2 linked regions of the Notamacropus eugenii genome follow. The protein of the gene in region 2 binds, or shares a complex with, the protein of the main gene of each other region. Links are inferred from orthologs where the notes say so. Each region holds a gene or a part of one and is shown on either strand. Other genes may lie near its edges.

Region 1 (7,644 bases), on a different chromosome or scaffold from region 2:
TACTATATATTTCCATTGATATCACAAAATCAATATATCCAAAATAGAACTCATCTTTCCCTAAAACCCACTCCTTTTTCCAATTTCCAAATTCTGTTGAACAGACTACAATTCTTCTAGTCACTCAGGCTTGTTATCTCTATCACATTCAACAATTCTTCAGTACCACTCATGTCCAATTGGTTGAAAAATCTTTCTACCTCCACAAGATATTGTGGAACAATTTCCTTCTCTCTACTCACACAACTACCACAAGGCTCAGGCTTTTATGACCTTTCCCCAGGACTAACAACCATCTTAATTAGTTTCCCTGCATCTATTCCCTACCCTCTTCTCTCCATCCTCCAAACAACTACCAAACTCACGTTCCTTAAGCAATGGTCTGACCATCATTCCCCAGCCTAAGAAGCTGTGGAGGCATTTAGGAACAAACAGGAATTTCTCAGGTTTTTGAAGTTCTTCACAACCTAATTCCAACCTACCTCTCCAGACTAACTATACATTCCTTTCCTTTAGGTACTCACCAAAATGGTTTACTTTTATTTCTCCATAAAAAGCATAACATCTCCAGTCTCCATGCCCTTTTACATATGCTTAAAATTCCTAGTGTTCTTCGAAGCACAGCTTAAGTGCTTCCTTTATATGTAAGGCCTTTCATGATCTCCCCCAGCCCCAAAAACCAACCACCTCCAAATTATTCTATAAATATGCTATATTTGCTCATACATGTAGATGTTAATTCCCCATAGAAAGTAAGCTCCCTGAGGACATAGGTTGTTTTGTTTGTTTTTGTCTTTGTATCCCTATGGCCTATCCTAGTCCTGGCACACAGGAGGCACTTAATAAATGTTGACTCAAAAGTAAAATGTTTAAATCAAGGTTTTGAACAGACACTGGCACATTTCTGTTGTGAAGAATGAAGTTTTTTTTTTTAAGGTTATCACACAAATATCACGTCCCCCTCAGTCTGACAAAGATACTTTAAACTAAATAAATACAGATGGATTTGGTATATTCCAGTTAATAAGTTAAAAGATTACTGGTGGAGTTTTTAAAAGTAACAACATTCTGAGAGACCAAGCTACCACCTAAACACAGTCGTTGTCTCCTTTTGTTTGGAAAAGGGGAAAGACAGTTCATCGCAAGAATTCTTCAGCAAATTAAAAATAGAAAAGAAGGAAAAAATGTTCAGCAACATATTTAAACAAACCAGCACATCTTTTCAACCCACAACAGTGACAGGTTGGAGGGTCCTTCAAGAGGCATGAAGCAAAAAAAAAAAAAAATCTACCCAATCCTATACATCTTCTCCACAGAGAGCAACAGATTTCCTATCAACATATTTAGTGGACCCTTCTACAGTGACAAAATCTACCTACGTAGACTGTCTTCACAATAGGCAAAATTTCTCTATCAACCTCAGAATCCAAGAAGAACTTCTTAATTCCATCCCTCGCATTGAGAGACTTGTAGTATCTACACACATACATACACGCGCACACACACACGGAAGGGGAAACTTGCAGGCATGCCTTACATTACAGAGGGAAGACCCTCCAGTAACTCACACAAGCTAAGGGGGAAGCCTCCACGGTCTCAATCCTCACACGCACAAGCCTTAAAAATAACACACACTGAGAGGGGAGCCTCCAGTCTCATGCACACACAGGAAAAGGAGAAAGGCTCCAATACCTTGAGCGCCCGCACAAACACACAAACACACACACACACACACACACACACTCTCTCTCTCTCACTCATGCGCGTACACACTGATGAGGGATCTCCTCAATTGCTCTCACGCACGCCGAGGGGAAAGCCTCCAATCGCCGCCGAACTCTCACACACGCACGCAGAACAGACCTCCGATAACGCACTCACGCCCCTCCAAACTCTCACACTCGCACGAAGACTTCCAATTAACTCACACACACACACACGCACGCAAGCACACGCATTAGAGTGGAACCTCCTCAATCGCTCATTCCCACCAGCGGAGGGAATAAAAGTGCACTCGCCCCCCCCCCCCACACACACACACGCATGCACGCCGGAGGTAAAACCTCTAACAGCTTACAAACACACACGTCTCCAAACTCACACACTCGCTAAGGGGGAAGGCCTCCGATTTAACTCAGACACATAAACATACACACATACACACCCGAGGGGGGGAGTAGGTGTTCGGGAGAACCTCTAATTCTTCTCACACTCACATGGTAAAGGGAGAGCCTCCGATACCGCACACACACGCACGCACGCACGCACTCACTCGCGGAGAAGGGCTACTCCACTACCTTATACACTCCCGGGCGCACACGCACACACGCACACACCGGCCGGTCCAGCGAGGCCTCTAATGGCTCCCGCCGCCCCAGTGTCCAAGCCCTCCCCGCCCGCCGGTGCCTCCCCTAACGGCAGCCTGGGCTCCGAGGAGCCCGTAACCCGCCCTCACCCTCCTCCTCCTCCTCCTCCTCCTCTCGCAGCCCGGCCCCAGCCGCCCGTCTCATTCCGGCCCGGGGCCGCCCTAGGCCCCGCCGTGTCCGGGGCGGCCGCGGGCGGGGGAAGGTCAGGGGCTCCCCCGGGACACCCGCTCCCGACGCAGCTCCCACCTACCATGGTACAGATGGAAGCAAATTTGGAGACTGTCATTAGGATTTCCATCCGCCCAGCGCCATCTTCCACCCAATCACAGCGGCGGCGGCGCCGGGCTCCGAGCACCGGGCGCGGGGGAGGAGGAGCAGGGCAGCGGGGCCGCCGCCCTCAGTACCGGCGGCCCGACAGCCCCAGCCCGGCTGGCCGACCAAAGGACCGGCCGAGCGACCCACAGACCGACCCCAACAACCGTCTGAGCCCGGCGCTCCGGCACCCTGGCCAAGGCCCCCGCCCCCGGCTCCGGCTGCGGCTCCTCCCCGGCTCAGGGCGCAGCCGCTGCCTCCGGAGGCCGCTCCAGCCCGCCTAGCACCCCGCCCAGCGCGGCCTGGGGAGCAAGCTCCGCCGGGGCCCTAATGCCCGGCCTGTCCGGGCAACTCCGGCACCACCCACTCGCCGCACCCCGGGGACCGACAACCTGAGCGGCCAGCACCCCCTCTGCCTCCGCCTCCGCCCCGCTGCTAGAGGCCAGCAAGCTCCGCCCCCAGCCGCCAGCCCGCCGAGCCCGAGCGGCCGCACGCGCACGAGGCGCCGCCCTCTCCTCCTCCTTCTCCTTCCCCAGCCATGAGAACCCCGCCCCCAACGTGTAGCGGGGTAGGGCCTGAGGGGGCGGGGAGGCGCCGCCGGCACTTCCCTCCGGGTCCTAGTGCTCTTCCACCATTCTTCCGCCCTCCTTTCCCTTCGGGAATGGATGATCTGAGCCAGGAAGCCAGAGCAGCCGAGCTGGCCCGGACAGCGCGGAAGAGGGGGCTCGGAAGTTGGGTCTTTACCTGATTTATTCGGGCAGTTCAGACCTCTAGGTGGAATGATGCGTCTCCGCTCCCAACACATCCGTGCCCAAGGCTTCGGTTCTTGGGCAGGGAATGGGAAAAGCCCGCCTCCGCAGCTGTGACCCGGTGAGACCCACTCATTTGCAAAGTCTAATCTTTCTCTGAAAACGGCGCACTTGTGTCAAACGCGTCATGGGAACACAGTATTAAAGTTAGATGGCATCTTCCAACATCTCAAAGCCCAATCCCCACATTTTACAGGTGGGGAAACTGAGGCCCAGAAAGGGCAAATGATTTCCCCAAAGTACCCTACCAAAGAAAGACAGAAAAGTAAAGATTCGACATATACATGTTATATTTAGCTCGGTGATGTAAGAGGAAGGGTAAGGAATCTGCAAAAGACAGCCTGCCTGTTGAGTATGAATTTTGATGATGCTTATAAATATACTCTCTAAATATATTTTTCCAGACAACAAGAACTGCAAAGGGAAGAATAGGAAGAGACCCAACAAGGATAATATTACCCAGAGAGACAAAAGGAAGTTGATAAGACTGGCAAGTGGGAGAAAAAAATAGACAAGTTCTGTGAGAAGTACATCAAAGTGTAAACTAGTGGAACTGTTTCCTTCTTTCTATTTTTAAAGTGCATCATTTGAAAATCTGTCATTCATTTCAGGCAGTTCATCATTAATTCTTCTTGTTCCAGGAAATTAAGTTTAATTTCTTAAAATTATCCAGCAAATTCCTGTTTCTTTAAAAAAAAAAAAAAAAAAGTCTTTTATTTTTAAATACTTGCTTACAGAAGTTATTGAGGGTGGGAGGCAAGGCAAGATTCTGCCTGGTTCTCAGTGCCTGAGATTACATTCAACTGAACAATTATCCCTAAAATAACGGGCTGAAGATATTTAAAGTTTGCTAAGAAATCAATTTCCGTATTGACTTCCATTATAACATAGTAGATGAATTCCATTAGAAAAAAAATTGTCCATAGTGTGAATTGTAAATAGTAGGAAATCCATAAATAGTTATTGATTTGATTTATAACCTAACCTGGCTTCCTTTCTCTAGTGTCTTCCCTTAAACCATCTATACACTATTACCAGGTTAGTCTTTCTAATATACAGCCTGGATCACATTATCCTCCTATTCAGTGATTCCTTCAATGCCTATTGAATAAAATAAAAGTTCTTTGGCCTTAACCTTCAAAACCTTCTACTATCTAGCTCCATCCTCCTTTTCCAACCTTAACTCATATTTCATATTCTCTACTCTCAACACACATTTACAAGAACATTTGAGGAAGGAGAAATCAGCGACAATCAAGACAGGAGAGGCTTTCTGTAGTGGCTCATGAGTTGAGTCTGGAGAGAACCCAGGAAATCTAAGAGACAGAAGTGAGGAAATACATCACATAGCTGCAGGGCAGAAGATGCAATGCAAGTGCACTGAATGTCAGGTACTGATAGAACATAGAGTGAATGAAAGGGAATGAAGAAATAAGCCTAGATCTCCTTTCGTTCATTGCAAAAGTGGAATATTATGGGTGAAACGCTGAATATGGTATCAGACTTGATTAATATACTGATTTGTTTTACTGAACTGTTTTTCTCTTTTTTATTCTTTGTTATAATGGATAATTTTCTTGGAAGGAGAGATAGAAGTATATATTGGAAAATGCAGATGATATAAAATCAAAAGATTTTAATAACATTTTAATGGGGAAAAGACATGGAAAAGTAGCTATAAAATTAAAAAGATTTTCACAAACAAAATGAATGCAATTAAAATTAGAAGGTAAACAGTTAGCCACAAAAAAATCCTTGAAGCTAATTTCTCTGCTAAAGGTCTGATACCAAAATATGCAGGAAATTGATACAAACATACAGGAACAAGAACCATTTCCCAGTAGGCAAATGATCAAAGGCTATGCATAGACAGTTTTCAAAAGAAGAAATACACATTAAAGCAACTCTAAGATTCTACCATCAGATTAGCAAAGATGACAAAAAAAAATAGAAAAATGACCATTTTTGGAGGAGATGTGGGAAGATAAGCAGACTAATGCACTGTTGGTAGAGCTCTGAAATGATCCAACTATTCACAAGCAATTTGGAACTGTACCCAAAATGTCACCAACAGAAAGAATGTAGCTAGAGAAGAATGCCCAGGAAAGAATCTTGTAAATGAACCACAGTTAGGTTACAGGACATAAATGATGATCCAGGAGGAGAGACTGAGAAAGAGCAGTAAGGTAGGTAGAAGACAATCAGGATAGAGGTCTCACAAAATCAGTCAAGGAAAAGACATTTATTAGGTTTTGATTACTATGTGCCAGGTTGTGTGCTAAGCGCTGGGAACACAAGTGTAATGGAGGTTTGGCACATGCCCAGACCAATGAAAATTGTGTCACGTATGTGGGAAATTCTTGGGACTTGCTTCTGAGAGACAGAACTAGTGTGTGCCTAAACATTCTGAATTGGCCTACCGTGTAGTTGGGAGTAGCCTTTTTTATTAGCTATATAGTCAGAATTATCCGTGTCACTAAGGACAGTTGTCCTTTTCTAGCATTTGCATCTATGGGTGTATTCATTCATTCGCAGCACATGACACTACGAAGTGAGGAAGCGGGAGGGGGAGAGATGGGAGGCACGCCTGAGGTATGCCTCCCTCTCCTCCATTGGCCATAAAGCCCCAAGAAATGGGCTTGGAGTTTTGGTCTGTTTCATTTGTCCCTTTCACTGCTGAGTGCAGGAAGTGGAGTTCCAGACTCAGAAAATTGAGCTACAGGGATTTTGGAGCCCAGCACACCTGGCCAGATGTTGCAGCCAGTGCACCAATGGTTCAGGACAGACTTGAATTTGGTGGGATTAATGTTAGGTAAGGACTGAGACTTCCTAGAGACTGAGATGGTGTAAGAGGGATTAGGCTCTCAGGTGCTAGGGAAAATGTACTTATGTTTTCTCATACCTTTGAAGTAAATTTTCCTTTGTAAAAGCTAAACTAAGTGGCTCAATGGAACTGGGTACAAGTCATTTGCCCCTAAAATTGGGAAACACAATCGATGGAAGCCCTAGCCAATGCCGAGATGAGTCTAATCTCACCCCTTCAGAGAACCTTGGGTTATGGAGATGGGGCAAGGTAACAGACCTGCCCTTAAAACAGTAGAAGCCAGAGATACATTGTTACAAACCAAAAAACTAAAAACAGTCCCTGCCAGGTAGAAGTTTGAAGGGGGAAGCGGGAGGGATTGCTCCTGTTGCCCAAAAGAGGAATGTAGTGATACATAATAGTTGGAATATTACCAGATGTCAACAAAAATCTCTGCTTGCTTTTCATTGAAAATCAATCACAGGCAAATTTCTGGAGAACAGAAGGGAAAAGGATGAAGGGCCCAAGTTGAGGGGTCAGACTGAGCTAAGAGTAGAATGACCTTTTCCTCTGAGACTAGAACAAAAGAGGATAGAATGAGGAAAGATGGGGAAAAGTTCTGAAGCATATCATCTGTTTTTTCAATAGAGAAGTAGGAGAGTTAGAAGTAGGAGGGACACAGCTACTTATTTAGGTCTGGGACACTTCCGGTTGGGGTTATATTCCACAAACCTGGTGTATCTGTGGTTCTGACCCACAGTTGACCTAACTTCTGGCATTCAGCTTTAAAAAAAAAAAAAGCAATAACCTAAGGGTGGGACTTTAGACCTTCCTTATGTACATTATAGGTCCTACTTCCTTATGGGTCCTGTCTTCTTACCTTGTTTCCAGAATCTATATCATATGAGCATATAAGGTACAAACTAAAAATGTAACTTTATAGCAGTCCTGGAGCCTGGTTCCATGAAGAAATATTCTTATGTTCCTCTCGACCCAGATCAGGATTGGAAATTTTCTCAGAAGTGTGCTTTATCTGTGAGCTCTTAATTTTTGCCAAAAATGAGAGCAAGTGAAGAATAAATGATCTGTATTAATTTAAGATCAATGATGAACAATAATCCCTGAGGTTTTTTTTTAACAAAACCAGAGTAGAAAGAAATATATGCATAAAAATGTACATGTGTGTTCTCCTATTCTAGTACAAATGTTTTTTTCTAAACAAAATCATACAAATAACAAAGTATATATGTATATAAGGGGCATATAAGAAATTAATTGATATAATACTTAACAGAGAATCTTTACCTACTTTTAGTGAGTGCTAGTTAATTACATCTATAAGCAAGAGGATCTT
Region 2 (6,966 bases):
CAAGATCACACAGCTAGTAAGAGTCTGAGGCCTTATTTGAACTCAGATCTTCCTGACTCTATTTACTGTGCCACCACCTGTTTCTGTTTTCTGTAAATGCAACTCCTATTTTTTTCATTATAATTTATTTATTTTTAGTTTTCAACATTCATTTCCACAAGATTTTGAGTTCCAAACTTTCTCCCCATCTCTCCCCTCCCCCACCCACCATGCATTCTGATTACCCCTTCCTCCAATCTGCCCTCCCTTTTATCACACCCCTCCTTTCCCTTTTCCCCATCTTCTCTCTTTTCTTATAGGGCAAGATAGATATCTATACCCCATTACCTGTATTTCTTATTTCTCAGTTGCTGCAAAAACAATTCTCAACATTCATTCTTAAAACTTTCAGTTCCAACTTCCCTCCCTTCCTCCCTCCCCACCTATCCCCACTGAAAAGGCAAGCAATTCAATATGTTATACATGTGCAGTTATGCAAAAGACTTCCATAAAAGTTATGTTAGGCAAAACTAATTATATTTCCCTCCAACCTCTCCTGCCCCCCATTTATTCTATTCTCCTCTTCTGACCCTATCCCTCCTCAAAAGTATTTACTTCTAATTCCTCTCTCCTCCCATTTACCCTCCCTTCTACCCTACTTTCCTGTAGTGTAAGATAGTTTCATAGCAAATTGAGTATGTGTGTTATTCTCTCCTTAAGCCAAATGTGATGGGAATAAGGTTCACTTTTTCCCTCTCACCTCCCCTCTTTCCTTCCACTGATAAAGCTCTACATGTATATAATCCCTCCAACTACCCTACGCAACTCCTATTTTTTAAAGTCATTTAGAAGAACTTTTCAGAGCAGTTTTGCAAATCTCTCTTTACTTTAGTATTACCATTTTGTAAGAAAGGTTATTATCTACCTTAATAAAAACTTCCTTTGCAAAGATAATTCTTGAGCATGGGCTCTGTTTTATGATGTAAACCAAGACTGCCCAGATCAAGTTTCCTATGAGAAAGCTTCAACAAGAAAACTTGCAGAGTAAAAAAGGTAACAGAGTAACAAGATGGTTCAACTGGTTATCAGTTTAGGTGAAAGTTAAGGTTGGTTTGGAGGTTGTTTTTTTGGTGTTCGGTGTCTAAAAAATACATTTTAGCAATGAAAACTTTGAAACTAACTGCACCAGAAAACTGACCCTTAAAGTTCTAGGATCAAAATCAAGATGGCAGTTTCCTGTTTGACCATTATTCTTTATATTTGTAACTGTTTTCCATTTATTGTCTCTGAAGACTTCACAATAGTGTACACTTATTAATTCATTATTTACAACATATTCACAGCAATCAATCTTTTTTTAAAGTAGAGGAGTTCTAGGTGAACCAACTTGGCAAAGGTCACCCAACAAGTCAGTGACAAAGCTAGGAACGGGACCAAGGTTATGTTTTCTTACTTTCCAACTTTAAAAGGAAAAGAAAAATTAAGTGGCTTCTTTTCAATATTTTCCATCACATTCTGACCATAATCGGAAACACTAGCAAAAACATTTCAGATAACTGCTTTAGAAACACACTCAGCATACCCACCACATGACCCTGCAATACTGAAATGAAAATACTGTACTTGTACATAATGTATTTATTTGCAGAAAGTCTGTATTCTTTCTTATTCATTATGTGCGTATTTTAAGGTACTAATAAAAATTAGCATTTCTGCAAATCATATTTGTCTGTTCATAATCTTGCACAGATTACAGAGTCCATTATTTTCTCTCTGCTAATAGTAAATTCAAAGTTCTATTTCAAAAGCTTAACAAGTATATGATAACACAGATGAAGGCTCTAACAAATTTTTTTTTAAAGGGAGAACATGCTTGAAGACGATTGCACGGTCGAAAGAATTACTGTTGCTTGTCATGAAAAGGAGACCACATGAAGCCGCTTTTTAGACCTTCCTGATTTAGGTGTCTTCTCTGACAAGATTAGTTCGAATGCTCTCATGCTGAACCCATATCACCCGTTAAAATAATGGAAAAGTAAGATGCCTCAGTCCCTCACTTTAAAACTTAGCCTATCCACATACTAGAAACAGACAAGAGACAATCTTTCATGATCTTTCCTAGGAAAAGATTCACTCCCAAGCGTTCTATGGCTGGAGACAGCGACAGCTGCCCTGCCCTGAGCGCTCGGAGACACAAAGTGTGAACAGCCGGGCCACCGACGGACTCCTAGGAAGTGCGGCAGCAGGTGGATCGGCCCCCCGCGATCCCCCACCCGCGCCCAGGCGGCTCCTTTCGGACTACGGGCACAAGCCTGCAGCTCCCCAGCGCCGGTCCCACCTCATTACCACCCCTCGTCCCCGTCCTCTCACGGGGGAGCCCCCCAGCTCGCAGTCGGGCTGGGGCAGTCGCCACCCCCGCCCCCTCGCCCCTCAGGCCCGGCTCCATGCTTGTCACCCAACCTGACAGACTCAAGGCGGAGGAGGGTGGGGTGACGAGAGGCAGACACCTGGGGTGGGGGGTGGGGGGGTGGCCTCCCTGGACTGGTCCCCGAGTCAGCCCCCCAGACCCTCCCCCCACGCTACACGCCCCCCTCTATCTCCTCCCTCCCCCCAGTGCAAGCGCTGAGGTGAGAACTCTCAAGTGGAGTTACCGGCCCACTCTGAAGTGAAGCGGCCGCCGCCTCCTCCCCGGGTCGGGTCACGTCACCGGGTCCCGTCCCCTTCCCTGCCGCCCGTGCCGATGTCGCTGCCCCTTTCCCCACCCCCGGTGGGCCCTGGCGCCGCCCGGGTCGGTACCTTGCGGACCCCCTTGTAGATATAGAAGTAGAGCTCCCGGCCCACATTGAAGCAGAGGCGGTCGCCGTTGCCAGACTGGTCGTTAAGGTTGACGAAGGAGACGCGCACGGGGTTGGACCCCTGCGAGTTGAAGGGCACCCGGTTGGGCCGACTGTATTCCGAATGCGGTAGCAGCTTGTAAAGACCTTCTCGGGTGGTGAACTGGGTCTTAATCTCGTTCATCTCCTTCCCTCCTCCCTCCGTCGCCATCTTGGAAAGCAGCGTTCATCCTGCCCCAAGTGCCCGGATCACACCCACTGCGCAGGCGCCGTCCCTAGCTTTCCCAGAGGCCACCCCCCCCTTCTTCCCCCTCCTCTTTCACCCCGCCTTCCTTCTCACCCTTCCACTCCGGTCTCTCCCAACCGAGTGCGGCGGCGACGGGAAGGAGGGAGGGCTTGTTTATAGCGTGTTTGCGCAGGCGCGACCACCTCCCGGGCCCAGCTAGATATCCACTTGCAGTCCGAGGCTCATTCGCGGACTCCGGTCCCCGCGTCTGGGTCCCCGAGAGCCGTTGCGACCGCCGCCGGCTTAGGTGAGGGGCCCAGGGGGGCCGAGTCCTCGGTCGTAGGCCGTCCCAGGGTGTGGGAACCGCCGCTGTCGCCCCAGCGCGAGCCAGGCCGGTGGGGGGTGGGGGAGAAGGGAGGCGGGGTCCCGTGCCGGCGAGGACGGAAGCCGTGAGGGGCCAGGAGAGAGGAAGGCCGCCGGAGCCCTCGGCTGTCCAGGAGGGGAGCGGGAGCCCTTGTGGGCTCCTTGGCGGCCCCCGTCTGGAGAGGCCAGCGCCCTGGATTTGGAGTCGAGAGCCCCGGGATGCAGCTCCCGGACTAGGTAGCACCTGGGTGACCTTGACGACCCGGTCCTGGTCAGTCTGGGTCAGGTGAGACGCTCTCTACGGGGAGACACCTCAGAGACGTCTTGGGCCAAGCCCTTAAAACCCTTCCCCCCTTTGGACCGGCATTGCTCTGATTTTATGGCTGTAAAGAATTCCTGGTGAGGACACTCCCTTACCTGTGTGCGTGTCTGCACCGGTTCTGTCACGTACTAAATAGTCACCTGTGGGTGGCACTGTCAGTGTACAGGGCCTGGCCAGGCTCACACCATGGTAGGGGTCAGAGAGGGACGGAAGCCCAGATCTTGTTTACCTTCTTTATTTCTTGCTTTTCTGTACGCTTGGCATACAGAAGGCGCCTAATAAATGCTTGTTGCTTGCTGATTGCCATTGAACCTCTAAATGTCATTAGCAGAAGTGTTTGATCATTACAGCTGGCATTTATGGCGATCTTTAAGGTTTGCCAAGTGATTTACATATACTACCTCACTGTGTCCTCACAACCCTGGGAGGTGGATGCCATCCTTATCCCGGTTTTACAGATGGGGAAACTGAAACAGACAGAGACTGTGACCTGCTTAAGGTCACACAGCTTTCAAGTGTTTGCACTGAGGTTTTCCTGACTCCAGATCCAGGGCTCTAACCATAGCACCATCTACTTTTCTCAAGCCTTCCTCTAGAACAGGGGGTTTTTGTGGGAAGTCCCCTTGGGCAGCCTGATGACACCCATGGACCCCTCAGAATTTTTTTTAGTACATATAATAAAATACATAAGATAATAAAGGAAATCAGTTGTATTGAAATATACTTATCAAAACAATTTTTTTAAAGAAAAAATGGGTTTGGGTTCCACGGTAAGAATCTCTGGAAAAGAGGAAAATGACTGTCTTGTCATCTCTTGGTCAAATACTTGGAATATGGTGTTTGTGAACCATCATAAGTGTTTGGAAACTATATTTGAGGAAAAGACATTGAAAAGGTGACTCTTATCTTGAAATGGCCAAGTAAAATGGGAAGGGAACCACAAAAATTGTGTCAAGAATTGTGTGGACCAATTAAGAATGTGTAGACTGGAGGCAATTTATTGGCCGTGATAGGTGTCTGTCTTCAGTTACTTAAAGGGAACGAGCTGGCATTTGGAAAATTACTCAGTGCTTTCTTTAAATCACCCCAAACTACTCTCCAAAACAAAAGCCAGTCTTTTTAACATAAATATTATTTTGGCTGTGAGGCATGAAATATCATTCTGAAAAATTAAAGTTGAAGGTCACCTAAAGGTTGACACTCTTGGTAGTCCTAAGTAGGGTAACATATTACTACTGAGAACTGGCATAAATTTTATCAGAGAAATGTATAGCCGTAAAAGGATGCGGATAGGTCACCTAGCAAGAGCAAAGAATCTAAGGGGAAACATACTCAGCTTGCCTCCCAATTTCATTGGTTGAACTGCCTTTGAAGGATTTGGTTGAGAATCATTCAGTTGACAGTTTTGCCTTCTACCTGAAAATTGATTTAACTTATTAACACATTAGAGTAAGATAAAAAAAAAATTAACTGGATGCTCAATTCCTGAAGGCTTTATTTTTATCCTGGGTTAATAAGTATTCATTTGCATTAAATAAACCTCTAAATAAACCTTTGGGTTGTCTAATAGTTCTTCAGCATTAGTAAGGAGAGATACTTTTATTTGTAGAGGAATGTATGTAACTATAACCACTAATGTCAATAAAATGTAAAAAGTGATTTCTATTATAGAGACACCAAAGGGTGAATAGAAAGCAGGCCTTGGAGTCCTAAAGATCTGGGTTCAGCTTTGATATAGGTTGACTTTGTGACCCTAGACAAGTTACTACATGTTTCCATGATATCTCCCCCATTGGATTGTGAGCTCCTTAAGAGCAGGGACTGTCTTTTGCCTTTATTCAAATTTCTAGCACTTCCCACAGTACTTGGCATGTAGTAGGTTTTAAATAAATGCTTGGTAACTTAGACTCAACTTTTCAGTACCCCAGGTAACTAAGCCTATAAGCTGCCAAGCATCTCTAATCAATCAGTAAGCATTTATTAAATGCCTACTCTGCCGGGACTGAGGTAGATACTGGGGATACAAAGACATAAAACAGTCCTTATTCTTTAGGAGCTTACATTCTCAAAAGGGAGATGAGGTATACATATAACACGTAGAAAATAAATACCAGGCAATTGTGAAGAAAAACCACCAGTGACCATGGGAACTAGGAAAGGCCTCTTATGGTGGTATTTGAGCTGATCTATTCGAAGAGGAAGAGGTAAACAGGGAGTGCATTTCAGGAATGCAAGTGTGGAACAGCCTATGCAAAAGTACAGTCAGAAGATGGAATGCTATATTTGGGCAAAAGAGCTCAAAGCAAAGCCAATTTGGCTGGATTATAGAGCATACAGAGCTCCCCTTCATATACATATTAATGTATAATAAGGCTGGAAAGGTAGATTGGAGGCAGGTCGTGAAGTGTTTTAAACACCAGACAGAGCAATTTATTTTTTATCCTAGGGACAGTAGGAAGCCACTGGAGTTTATCAAGCAAGAAAGTACCATAGTCATGCTTTACTTCAGTAATGTCACATTAGTACTTGTGTGAAGGAGCAAGGGGACCAATTTAAAATGGAGTAGTCTTAAGTGAGAGGTGATGAGGCTCTGAACTAGGCTGGTTGAAGAGTGGAAAGATGGAGATGAATGGAAGATGTAGAGATAGGGTTGACAAGACTTGGCCACTCATTGGATATGTGGGGCAAGGAAAAGTGAGGAGGGAGAGATGACTCAGAGGTTGCAAATACTTGTGACTGAAAGTATGGTGGTACATTCAGCAGAAATAGAGAAGTCTGAAAGAGTGGGTTTGGTGCAGGGAGGAGATAATGACATCTATTTTGAATATATTGAATTTGAGAAGCCATTTGAAAAAATATGCAAAAAACCTATTGATGGTGCAAGTCTGTATCTAGAAATCATCTGTGTGCCATAACAGTTGAACCAATGGGAGATGATAAGTTCTCGGAGATTATACATTGAGAAATGAACTAGTCTTGGAATATATCCAGAGTTAAGGGCAGAGGGAATGATGATCCAGCAAAGAATGAAAAGTAATAGTCAGATAAGAGGAAAACCAAGAGAGTAGTGTCACAAAAAAAGAAAAAGTATGTATGAGTAGGAAATACTCAGCATTGTCACTTGTAACAGACAGATCCAGAAGGGTGACAGTTAAGAAAAGGCCATCTGATTTGTCAATTAAGAAACCACTGGTAACTTTAGATGGAGCAGTTTCAGTTGAATAGGTTTTTTTTCCCCAAGA

Evidence for each region. The genes of interacting proteins can lie anywhere in the genome.
Region 1: the proteins of WDR20 (region 2) and USP12 are in contact, whole or in part, in a crystal structure (PDB 5K1C), measured with the Homo sapiens proteins. The link is inferred for Notamacropus eugenii from reciprocal best matches to the Homo sapiens genes WDR20 and USP12. Residues at the interface, in NP_653175.2 of Homo sapiens: Asn41, Ser42, Gly44, Ser45, Arg151, Ser170, Lys259, Ser260, Tyr261, Phe262, Gly263, Glu282, Asp283, Asp284, Leu285, His301, Lys304, Ser305, Trp306, Gln374, Asp375, Thr376, Arg516, Met517, His533, Glu534, Arg535; in NP_872294.2 of Homo sapiens: Glu207, Asn209, Thr210, Ser211, Thr213, His214, Arg217, Arg277, Val279, Phe280, Pro281, Leu282, Glu283, Leu284, Arg285, Phe287, Asp297, Met299, Gln342, Glu345, Tyr348, Thr351, Ser352.

The regions. Positions count from the first base shown.
Region 1 is NC_092876.1:195,092,262-195,099,905, forward strand, and holds the start of USP12 (ubiquitin carboxyl-terminal hydrolase 12), read right to left. Parts: upstream 3,051-7,644; 5' UTR 2,665-3,050; coding exon 2,617-2,664; intron 1-2,616. UniProt on the Homo sapiens protein: Deubiquitinating enzyme that plays various roles in the regulation of the immune response and inflammation.
Region 2 is NC_092872.1:351,726,087-351,733,052, forward strand, and holds the start of WDR20 (WD repeat-containing protein 20), read right to left. Parts: upstream 3,102-6,966; 5' UTR 3,025-3,101; coding exon 2,776-3,024; intron 1-2,775. UniProt on the Homo sapiens protein: Regulator of deubiquitinating complexes. Activates deubiquitinating activity of complexes containing USP12. Anchors at the base of the ubiquitin-contacting loop of USP12 and remotely modulates the catalytic center of the enzyme.